Schizosaccharomyces pombe: one gene and its partner. The gene in region 2 interacts genetically with the main gene of each other region. Each region holds a gene or a part of one and is shown on either strand. Other genes may lie near its edges.

Region 1 (7,268 bases), on a different chromosome or scaffold from region 2:
TAGAAGCTAACAAACTTACAATAGGAATTGTTAACGATTCTTCACTAAAAGTAAAGTACTCTCTACACTTCAAATGAAGCAAATTATATAGGTTTTTTTCGTGCTTCTTTTCATGTTCCTTTGTTCGATTTTTTATTTTTTTATTGACTGCTCTGAAAGGCATTTTAAGGAAAAATATTTTATTTTTTTGGAAGCAATGCCTTTAAGTTCACTAGATCGTTCTGGAGCGATGTAGCTTGGTATTGAATTTGTAAACATTAGTATATTCCAAAATGTTACCCTAAAAGTTTAGAAAGAAAATGTACGCAATGATGTTAAGGCTGGTGCTAACTTTTGATAGAGACGTTAGGACTTAATAATTACAACTTTCGTTATTCCGCCGAATTTAATTTTATGAATTGCTACGGTACCAGAATATTATCGTTCTATTTGAGTTAACAGGAAATCTAATACGCGAATGAAACTAGTAAAGTCTAGGTGAATGTCAATTTGACGAAGCATTGCACGGTTTTGCAACGATATTTTATTTGATATAAAGCCATATTTTTTAACACTCTAATTTCAAGTAAACATCTAATCATACTTACCCTCCTCGAATGCTAACGCTTTTTTTTCTTAGAAATTTGATCACTTTATATCCCGAAGCCTTTACGTTTGATTTTCTTTTTAATATACTGTATGAGTTATTTTAAATCTATTTGTTGTACTGCGCCATATAATCTAATCATATTCATTTCCAAAAATTTAAGTATTCATTCATTACCACAAGAATATCAGGCTAAACGTACAAAGAAGAGTAGATAACCAAAAAGTTAGCGAATTAAACCGTAGATATCAGTGATACTGCTTTTACGAACAAAATTATCATGTAAACATAAAGAAAACTTCATTTTGTATATATATATTTTTCTGAACGTGTAAAAAACCAATAGCTTCAATTGCAAGTATGATATGATATCTAGATTTATTGTAATACAGGTAAAGAACGATTAAAAATTATTAAATGAGACCGCTTTCTTTAGCCAACGAATAAAACATCGAGTCTTTGTTTTCCAACAATTTTTTAGTTGCATCAAATTCAACCACTTTTCCATGATCTAAGACTAAGATGCGATCTGAATCCATTACCGTATTAATTCTATGTGCAACTGTTAAAATTGTACGATCTTTGAAGCGTTTGCGAATGGTCTGCTGTACAATAGCATCAGTTTCAGCATGGACTGATGCTGTTGCCTCATCCAGCAATAATATACGGGTCGAAGTAAGTAAAACTCTTGCTAAACATATTAATTGGCGTTGACCAGACGAAAAATTTGCACCTCCTTCAGCAACCCTAGAATACAATCCATCTTCCAACTGAGAAATGCAGTTTTTTAGAGAAGCAATTTCTAATACCTCCCAAATTTTTTTATCAGTTAGTCTATGATTCGGATCAAGATTTTCTCGAATGTTGCCCTCAAATATTTGACTTTCTTGTGGAATGATAGATAATCGCGAGCGCAAGTCGTATAATCCAAATTTCGTTATGTCTTCGTTATCTATTTCAATTTTTCCTTCAGTTGGTTCAATTATTCTAAACAATGCCATCGCCAAAGTTGATTTTCCTGCCCCGGTGCGACCGACGATACCGATCTTTTCCCGTGGGGAAATTTCAATGTTAATGTTATTTAAAGCAAAGGATAAGTCCTCACGATATTTAGCACTATAATGATTGAAAGAGACTGCCCCATCAGTGGGCCATTCACAAGGTGGTCGATTCTCTGGAATAATTTCCGGTGCTTCACTCTTAACATTAATGTATTCTAGAATTCTCTCTACAGAAACAGTGTTATTTTCAGCATCAACAGATTGCTGCACTATAAATGAGAGACCTTGAGTAATTTGTATTGCATATGACAGCGAAAAACCCACTAAGCCCGGGTTGGGACTACCTTTAATTGCAGAAAGGATTCCATAAAATGCTGTACAAAAAATGATTAAGTCTCCAATGCATTCCACTCGAATAGCTTGCCATCTACTGGAACTGAAAAACATGAACCATACACGATGATTGGTATCAATTCGTAGGTCATTTTCTTCAACGAAAGTCTCTTGCATACCGTACGCTCGGATTGTTGATAAACCGCTTAATGATTCTTGAACATGTGCGTATAAAGGACTTCTGGTGACATTATCTAGTCTTTTTAATTCACGTGAAGTTCGCACATAGTAAGCCCTATTATAAAGATACAGAAAAAACAGAGGAACTATCAGAAGTAAAGATAATGGTGCAGAATAGCAGATAACTCCCAAAATGAAGAGCACTTGAATTGAATTTCGAAAGAAAAACATAAATGTCAACGAAACTACTTCATCAACTTTGTATACATCGTTCGAAAATCGGTTTAAGATTCTTCCACTAGACGTGGTTTCAAAAAAGCCCATCGGAGCACGCAAAATCGTCTTAAGCATTGAATCATGCAAATATCGACCGCTTCGTATACCGCACAACACCGTCATAGTCAAGCTACTACTTGAAATGAAAGCACATGATAAAAATCCAAAAAATAAATAAATTCCAAGATAGAAATAAGGGCTAGGGTTAAGTTCTGAACTTGATTTTCCATTTTCTTCACTCCAATGTTTCAACCAAACATTGGTTGCGACGTTCATCATTATACCACTTATTATGAAGAAGAAGTATAGTAAAATTAAGCCGATGGAACATGATTTAAAATACATCCAATATACATGCCATTTAACCTTACCGCGTTGAACAAGTTCATCAGTTTGAGCAACACACTTTCCCTTATCATCTTCTGTCACTTTTTGGCGGATCGGATTTCTCTTTCTAGATTTATACTTATTAGAACTATCTTTTCTTTCACTTGAAGAATACGTTTCTAAGCCTTCGACATGAATTGAAGGAGCCAAAGAAATTTGAGTACTTGGATACGATGTAGTATGTTCGGGTAAAGGCTGCGTGTCCTTCTCATCGTTGAACTCCGATAGTTGTTGTTTTAGCTCAGAATTTGTCGAGACAAATAAGTGCTCATAGTTTCCTTTTTCAACAATTTTTCCATTGCTTAATATATAAATTGAGTCTGCTTCTTTAAGCACATTTAAAGAATTTGTTGTAAGAACAACACAGTGCGTCCTCAAGAAACCTTCTGGACCAAAAAGATTTTTAATTAAATCTCTGCTTACATGCTGATCTACGGAAGACAAAACATCATCGAGAAGATAGATGTCTGCTTGAGAATATATTGCACGAGCAAGTGAGATTCTCGACTTTTGACCCCCCGACAGCGATGCACCTTTTTGGCCGACTTCCGTTTGATCCCCTTCAGTAAATATTTCAAAATCACGTTTCAAGCAGCATGCATGAATGGTTTTCTCATACAATTCAGGATCAAATTCAGATCCGAAGAGAATGTTTTCCCGGATAGTTGCATCAAAGATCCATGGTTGCTGAGCTGCATAAGCTAGTGAACCACATTGGAAAACAGAACCTGAATTTTTATACATATTCCCCATACATGCTTCTAGCAAAGAAGACTTACCCGCTCCAACTTTGCCAAATATGCAAGTCAGCTCACCATTTTTTGCGACAAAATTAATTTGACGTAAAGTTGGCGTTACTTGTTGCTTTAGTGTTTTTTTAGACCAACTGAAGGTGCCACTTTTAATTTCAAGACAAATTTCATGAGGAATCTCTGTAGCGGGAAATCGTTGTACCCCATTGTAATCCAATTCTTGTGCTATGAGAAATTCATATATTCGAGAAACGGATACAGATGCTTCCAACAAAGAACTAATTACTGTGGGTAACATGGCCAATGGGAATTGCAACAGGTTGAAAAGACTTACAGCAGGAAATACTATATCCGCAGTGAGAGCTTGAGTTTTCCCATGGAAAATAATAAAGGCTCCAAAAGCAACAGTTGTAACAATAATGGTAGTAAAAATCCAGGCAAAATCACCAATTGCAGTGATGAAACCAATTTTTTTTAACATACTTAATTCTTTAGTATTTCTTATATGCAGTAGCTTCTGAAGGAATGGGGTTTCCCATGCATAAAGTTTAATACTGCGTATATTATTGATAATTTCGGTCATCAATTTGGAACGGGAATCTTTGTTTTTCATTAAAATACTTTGAAACTTCTTGTACACATTGGCGACAATAATGTTGCATGGAAATAGTATAACGGATGCAGCGACACCCGTAAAAGCGCTATATCCCATAAGGTGGTATAAATTTGAAAGAGCTAAAGCAATTTGAAATGGACCTGAAACAATAATGAATAAATATATCGGCAGATCACTTATTTTTTGAGTATCGACAGCCATGTAATTTATTATATCACCAATAGATCGATTTTGGCGTGCTGAACTTGATAGAAGAAGAGATTTACGATAAATAGATGCAAGTAGTTCCGTTTTCCATCTCATTCCAAGCAACATAATAAGCTGATTATATTGTTGTAGTAATAAAGTTTGGAGGAAATTAGCGACAAGAACCAAGATAGCGATTATAAAACCTCTACTTGGGGATTCAGGATTGGGAGAAGTATAAGAACTAATAAAGAGAATGGTTTTCTGAATCAATGTTGGCTGAACAAAAGCAAGTACATCTTGAATCAACTTTGTGATGGTAATTAGAGCTACAAGTTTCCAATGATTAAAAAATAAAAGTTTCCATAAAAACAGACTTCTTCGTTTATTCTTCGAATGGTATATCCACCAGTCTTCAAAACCAATTATTAAATTGCCAGATCGCTCATCTGGAGGAAGTAGCCAAACATCAGATTCCTTTAAATAGTTAGTGTAACCAAATTTTATGAAAGAACTGATCCAAGAAAATGATAACTTTGAGAATATGTTCGCATATCGAACTTCAGAAGGTCTTATCCCCTTCTCTTCAACTTCGTTTGTATCATCAGAATACCAGACACGATTGCAAGGCGGGACATAAACCTCACTAATAAAGCATACGAGCGAGCAGAACAGAGTAATTAAAGTAAGCAACCGAGCCATACTGGTAATTGCAATATAGGGACTGAACAACAAAATCAAAAGTGAGGTAACTACTTTCAGAAGCCAAAATATCAATAGAGAAGCCATGGGAACTCTTAGAGTTGATTGCTCAGCAAACTGTAAAAATAATACGAAACAATAAGTTACAACTGAAAAAAAATTCCACCCGATGTTTTTTGTCTTATATCCCACATATATTTGTGTAATAATAACAAGTGCTATCGAAAAGAACTTCATCCAGATGGTCCAAAATTGCGAAAAGTGAGGACGAAAGATCCGTCTCCTAACGTCAAAAACATATTGTAAGCCCCCGCTAACTAAAGCGAATAAATTTGGGATAAGCAAAACCAGAGACAAGCCTTTGTTTGCGGTGATCATTACATGTATACTTATCCAAATACTTTATTAAAAGCGATGCTTAAGTCTTTCTATACAGGGCTAAGTAGAGTAATCGGAGCGCTATGTAGGATTCAAAATAAAGTTAATGTTAGGATATCAGATCACCATCTATAAAAGTGTTGGTAGTTGACTAATAACGTTTGCGCTGAATCTCATTATGTTGCTTAATAACATCTGATAAATTAATCGGAGTTAAATATTCTTGAACTCGGAGTTTAGATTCGACACCGGTCAAGTGTCTTCAGTCCATTAGGAAGGGCAAGCAAACCTCTAATTCACTGTTGTAGATGTGTTCTGTAATCAATAAAAGAGAAGACCTTGAAAGAATACCTACTGAGATTTTTTCATATTTTGTAGTTTTATGAAACGATATCATTTTAGAAATATCAAACTTTTAGATATAAACTATAGTTATGATTCTCGTCTTATAAACGCACCTGGATGTCTAGCGTTCCATCTAAAGTGAAACTTTGCGCATCTTAGCAATGTTTATCACGTTAAAAATTTCGAAGTTAATAAAACAGAAAAACTCGTCTATAGTACTTTCTCTAGTTTCAATAATACTTTATGTCAACAAGCAAAGCCTTAACTGAGGTGGTAAAAGACGACAAAGGAAGTCCTAAGATTAGGAAAAGTATAAGTATCCAGTATATAAAATTTTATAACTATAATTCTTTTCCAAAATAAAATCAAAAACAAACTAAATATAAAATGAAGCATAATTTCAGCTGTTTATTCGAAGATTGTCATCTTTGTGAAGTATGGATTAACATAAATTAGGCCTCACAACAATTAGTTGAACTCACTTGAATAAAAATTCTTACGAATGCAAATTTTGATCATTTGCATTAATTTTATATTCTTGATTGTAAACAAAACTAGTTAGGAAATTATAATGCTGAAGAAGAAGTAAAAAATATTTGATAATTCGATAACATAATAAATTGCTTGCTTTCTTTAAGATTTTCCCTATTTTTGTTCAATTTAAAAAAATGGGAAACAAAAGAAGAAAAGAAATTGATTCTATGTTTGTGTAAATATTCCTAAGCTTTTTATTTTTTATTAGCAAAAGTTAGTAACTTAGGATCTTCAAATTGCTTCAAGAAAAGTTTAAATAGTAAACAATACTCAAATTGACAAAAATACTATTAATATATATTACAAATCAATGATTTTCTGCTTGAAATGCGAAGATCTTAGTTTGTTAGCTTTTATAAGTTTGATATAAATAGACTGGTAGCTATATTTAGTAAGACAGACGTATTATACCATTTTAGCATTCAAAACAAAAACTAAGTGCTTCAATGACTATTTCCCCTTTTTAATAAGTTCAAACTAATGAGAACGGTCGTTGTTATTACCCCAGCCAATTTGCTTCCCGACGTTGCAAAATATCGAAATGTCTTTCTTTATGATTTTTTCTCCAATGACCCTACCTTGTTATTTTAGTCTGAACGGTCGAGCACCGCTACATGCTTAAGTTCATTGATATGTCTAATCAATTATGGTAAGCATAACTGCCAGCTACTCAACTAGAGAGCTGCCGAAGAAGAAGTAGTTCAATAATAAAAGGGTTCGACCTCTGATCTGTGCCATATAAATTTAGCAACAAATTTGAAAAGGTTAAACCCAATATACTAAAACGAGAACACAACAGATATCATTTACATAACTCGTGATTGTATCAAAGAAATCATAATTCAATCAAACTTCGATATCAATCGTAGATCCATGGGTAAGGCATAAACGAAATAATCTTAAATGGAAGAGATATTTGCAGGATATGTGCTTTTATGAAAAGCGCAGCATATTATGTAGGAACATCTCGTGGTAAGACTGGGATAATGCTT
Region 2 (5,481 bases):
TGCTGCCGTGCACACAGAGCATTTCCGAGGTCAACCTATTTAGTTTGCCTTGGTAATCGCCAATTGTATCAAGTTTCCAACTCCTTGCAGACGGATGCAAATTGGACGGTGCGCATCCATTTCATTTCCTATCTGTTGCGTAAACGCCCTTTCTACCAAAGTAGGTTTACTATACAACAATCATTAGAACGATAGTTAGGGATTGATAAAATTATCAACATATTGCGATAACTCTTTCCAATATGGTAATAGTCAAAGGTACCACTGGCATTTGAGTAATGGTTTGATATGCATACGTTTTCAATGTTTTTACACCCATTCATGTTTTCAATTCATCTTTGTTTTATGACCATTTTACTCTTGTCTCTACTGTATGCTTGTTATTAAAAAGGTCGTCAAGGAAGTTACTGTTTGATTAATTTTTCGTTAGACAAGCTAATCAAGCATTTCTTGTCATCTCGAACGAATAAAATCGCTTACCGACACTTTCTACATGACAATTCTTCACTCTTTTTTCCTCGTGAGCAATTTTCGCTTTCGCTTTGCCCTTCTATTCGCTTTTTCTCGTACATTTGTATCTCGCATACTGCTGCTGCCTTTGCTTTGATCTACCTACCACAAAATATACTCATACCTACATGACAATAGAAAAACAATGGGGAAATTAAAAACTTTGATATTATGAAAAATGACTAATAGTAAAAAAAAAAATAAAGAAATCTTGCACTTTTTTCCAAATACAAAAATCCTTAAAGTATGTAAATAAAATGGAAAATATAGAAAAAAAAAATACAAACACACGCTCACAAAAATTCATTACTGGGGTTAGTCTTCCAGTAATTCATCGAATTGCATACACCTTACTTTGATCTTCTTCTTCTTAGGTGCTTATTAAGATAGTCGCGTATATCCGTTACTTCTTTTCCTTTCCTTTAAACAAACGTAAAACGGAGTAAAAAAAAAAGACACACCAACTGTAATTTTGGGGGTAGGAAACACATATTTTTCTTTCATCTCTTATTTTTATTTTATTTCATCTTTTCCTTCCACCACTTTCTCAACAGCTTTGTCAGTGTCCAAAAACATAGCTGCATTTTCCAATGCTGCCTCTTGCAGATCGTCATTCTCGTCTAACTCCTCCGTCGGCACTGGATGAATAGAGGCGCCGTAAAATATAATCGATCCCATGCCAATACAGGCTGAAATCACACATGCTGCCATTGTACCAATTGCCTTGCTAGTCCAGCCAGCTGGCATTTCACCGGGAGGAGACGGTGCACCAGACAAATCGGAAATATTCTTGTAGTTACCAGCACCATTTCCGATCGTTGGAACACCATCCAACATGCACTGCTCCTTCACAAAATCAGGACTGGAGATACTGGGTATCATCTCCGGTGCTTCAATAAACGTAGCTAATAAACCACTCTCCATATGCCATTCAATATGGCAATGAATAACCCAGGCACCTGGGTTATCGGCAATGAAACGAATGACAATGAAACTTCCCGGTTCGATTTCGACGGTGTCACGACGCATTGGATTGTCATAGTATGTGTGCGACTCTTGATCCGAGTACAGTCCGGCATTTTCTTCTCCACGCTCCAACACTTGAAAGGTGTGTCCGTGAAGATGGAAGGGGTGCTTTCCTGTATCGTGGTTGTCAATGATAACGTCCACCACATCACCATACTCGAAAATATATGCATTGGTATAGGGTCCATACGTGACGGGCTCCAAATTGTAGCCATCTACATTGGTGCTGTTGGCAATCATGATGGATGGGACCTTGGGGAACACATAGGATGAATCGTTGATTTCTGCATAGTTGGCACCGTCACCAAGGGTGAAAAAGTCAAACCATATGTTGATGGAATGATTGGATTCCGTGACATCCCAGCTATAGAGAGGATTCAACTCTGCGTCGTCGTAGGAATCGATTTCGTCAATGTCAGGCCCTAGATCGTATGAAGCATCTGAATTGTAAGAAAGCCAGGCCGTTACATTGGGGTTGTAATTGTCGGGAATCGTATCGAATAGCGACTCGTCCATGTAAGCGGTGATGGCATAGTTGCGATCGGTGGAATTCTTCGCTGTCACAAGCACACTGTAACGTTGAGCGACTGTAAGGTGGATGGAGCTAACCTCTTGAGGCTCTGTGTACTCGCCGTCCACTTCGATGATGGTCATGTTGTGATCCTCGATCATGACATCGTAGTTGTTGAAAGCGCCAATGTTGATGAAGCGCAAACGATATGTCTTACCAGGCTCCATGGCAAAAGTAGCGTTGGCAGTATCGTTGAAAAGACCGGTATCGGGGACTGGCTCGGCACCGGTGGGATTTTTCCAAGTTTTAAATTCATCGGGCACGAGAATGTTGAAAGGAGTATAGTACCAATCCGTCATGGAAATGATATACTCCTCATCGTAATCGTATGGCTCCTCCAACGCGTTGATGATAAAAGGGGTACGAAGGCCATCGGGGTATTGGGACATGTCGTGAGAATGAACCCAGTAGGTGCCATTCTGCAAAGCGGTATAGTTGTAGTAAAAAGTGGCACCAGGAGGAATTTCGCATTGAGTGCTTTGTGGCACTCCATCCATGTAAGGAGTGAACTTTTGAAACAAGCCATGAGAATGCAAAGAAGTAGTTCGATTATTGGCGAGGGAATTGGTCATCTTGATGATGACTTGGTCACCATAGTCGACGACAAGGGGATCGATGGGCCATTTGTTATTAACACCAATGACCCAGCGGGAATTTCCCGATCCATCAGGGTCGACGTCGTAAACGTCTGTGACATTCCATTCAAACAAGCGTTCCTTGGCGACGACGAAGCGAACGCATGTAAGAAGAAGGCCGAGAATGGGGAAGGAGAAAAATTTATTCATTATAGCGCGCAAGAGAGAAAAGAAGAATAAGGAAAGATATTAAAAAAAAAAAAGAACAGAAAAAAAAGAAATGAAAACAAAGAGAGAGAAAGGCAGAAAAAACAGCAGAAAAAAAAAGAAAGGGGGTGTACTTTTATCGCTACCGTTTGTCCAGTGATGGCTTTATAAGCAAGTCGTTTTTCAACAAAACCTACAACAAGTTGACTTGCGATTTCAACGTCGCTTTGACCAGCTATTGTTTTGCCTTTTGAAATTCTTGATCTGATATCTTTATACACTGACAAAGGCCCCCAACTTAATAACCACCAGCTTTCTTCTATGGCGATACGATACGATACGATACGATGCTATACCACGATATCGAACTGCACCCAACTAAATTCGCAACCACTTAGTGAGCTATTGTGGATCTTCTAACCAACTTTAATGGATCGGTTCGTCAAATCCTTAATTCGCAAAATCTTCTCACCTGCCTATATGTGAACGAGTCGAGCACCAAAGCAATCCAAACACAAGTCAAACACTACGCTACGGTAAGTTAAGTTACGGTACTTTGCGTAGAAAATCGAAATCCGCTCGCCCCACCAACCGAGTATATATAGGATGGAGGGTGTGGGTGGGGTCGCACCCTCCTCTTGACGCCATATCGGATAAAAATGAGATTGACCAGTTTGTCTCTGACAACAGAATAATTCATCAGATATGCTCCTTAGGGTAAGGCAAGATAGGACAGTTTTGGGGTCGGAGTTGGTGTCCACTTTGATCGGTTGCTTATCTACCAATCTGGACAAAAGTTATCAGATGTAATCCAGATGCCTGGAAGAAGTGGGTCAAACAGATTAAAAGGGCATGCTTCCCCCCGGCCTGTTTGCCCTAACGCGGTGAAAGGAACGAGACAAAGGACATTGGCCTGTGGCTTGAGTTTTGTAGTGGATCGCTTGAAACGACTGTACACTTGCACATTCAAAGTACATTACATTGCATTGAATTGAAAGGCATCGCACTGCATCGCATTCTATACCCGTTGACAAATTGTGGAAGGATACAATTCGTATTGAAAAGGTTTGAAATTTATTTCATTTTATTTTTTTCTCTCTCTCTCTCTTTCTTTCTTTTCTTCTCTTTTACCCACCTTCTCTACCATGGCAAAAGACGTCTTTTCCGTCGCTATCTTCTTCATCGTCCTTCGTGAGACCCTTGAGGCTTCCATCATCGTCTCAGTCTTGATGTCCTTCATCTCCCAAACACTCATGGATAAAGATGGAAACGTGACGGATCCAAAACTAAAGCGAAAATTTATGCTGCAGGTTTGGATCGGTTCGTTTACTGCTTTGTTCATTTGTTTAGCCATTGGCGGTGGCTTTATCGGTGCTTTTTATGCCCTCGACAAAGATATTTGGAGTGGTTCCGAAGAAATTTGGGAAGGTGTCTTCTCTCTCATCGCTGTCGTCTTGATCACCGTAATGGGGTTCGCTATGCTTCGTGTCTCGCATTTACAGGAGAAATGGCGCAAGAAACTTATGAAAAGTATCGCCAATCGCAAGGCCAAAGGTATCTCCAATTGGGGTAAAAAGTATTCCATGTTTCTCCTTCCCTTTTTCACCGTTCTGCGTGAGGGTTTGGAAGTCGTCGTCTTTGTCGGTGGTGTCGGTTTGGAAACACCTGCCACCGCTTTCCCTCTTCCAGTCATTTGCGGTCTCATCGTTGGTTGTCTTATCGGTTACTTTATCTATCGTGGTGGTAATGTGATGAACTTGCAATGGTTCTTGATTGCCTCAACATGTATCCTCTACCTTATCTCCGCCGGTCTTATGTCCAAGGCCACCTTTTACTTTGAAATGAATAAGTGGAATCATCAAACTGGTGGTGATGCTGGTGAGCTCGGTGATGGTCCCGGTTCCTATCCCTTCAAATCCGCCGTTTGGCACGTCAACTATGGTAATCCAGAGATGAATTCCAATGGTGGTTACATGATCTTCAATGCCATTCTAGGTTGGAACAACACTGGTACCTATGGTTCCATCCTTAGCTACATCATCTATTGGCTTTTCGTAGCCTTCATCATGTTCCTCATGTGGTACAAGGAACGTCGTGCTGCAAGACTCCTTATTGCCAAGCTCGGCGACAAAGTTGTCGACTTGGAGGCTGCCTCTTCACACACTCCCGTGCAATCCTCCTCCTCTGAAGATGAATTCAAAATCAATTCTCCTACCGATGATAAAGGCGACAAAGCCATCGATATCGTTACCGAAGTTCGCGAGTCTTCTTCTCCCGTCGAAGAACATAAAGACGACAAAACTGTCGATGTCATCAATGAAATTCGTGAGTCTCATTAAAGTAGTCATGCTTGAACGAAAAATCTTGTTATTCTTTTTTTCCCCTCCTTTCCCAAATTCCCCCTACAATTGATTTTGTTTCTCTTTGCAAATGAACCCACTACTGATATCTCTCTTTGCATTCGTTTGCTGTTTTTGCTTAATGTCACCTTGTATGGGTAAATTCTTCCCTCCCCCGGGTCTTCCTGATTTTCTTTTTTTTTTATTTGGGTCCTAACTTTCAATATTTCCCTTTTATTCTTTTCCTAATTTA

The links.
Region 1: mutations in fio1 (region 2) and abc3 impair growth when combined (synthetic growth defect), as found in Schizosaccharomyces pombe (one study listed by BioGRID).

Annotation. Positions count from the first base shown.
Region 1 is NC_003423.3:120,876-128,143, reverse strand, and holds abc3 (multi drug resistance-associated protein abc3), read right to left. Parts: upstream 5,503-7,268; 5' UTR 5,398-5,502; coding exon 1,000-5,397; 3' UTR 683-999; downstream 1-682. UniProt on the Schizosaccharomyces pombe protein: Iron-regulated vacuolar transporter that mobilizes stored heme from the vacuole to the cytosol in response to iron deficiency.
Region 2 is NC_003424.3:4,233,050-4,238,530, reverse strand, and holds fio1 (Fe transporter/Cu oxidase Fio1), read right to left. Parts: upstream 3,460-5,481; 5' UTR 2,893-3,459; coding exon 1,024-2,892; 3' UTR 657-1,023; downstream 1-656. Other genes in the region: Fe permease Fip1, read left to right, coding at 4,035-5,228. UniProt on the Schizosaccharomyces pombe protein: Could be an iron transport multicopper oxidase, which is required for Fe(2+) high affinity uptake. May be required to oxidize Fe(2+) and release it from the transporter. Essential component of copper-dependent iron transport.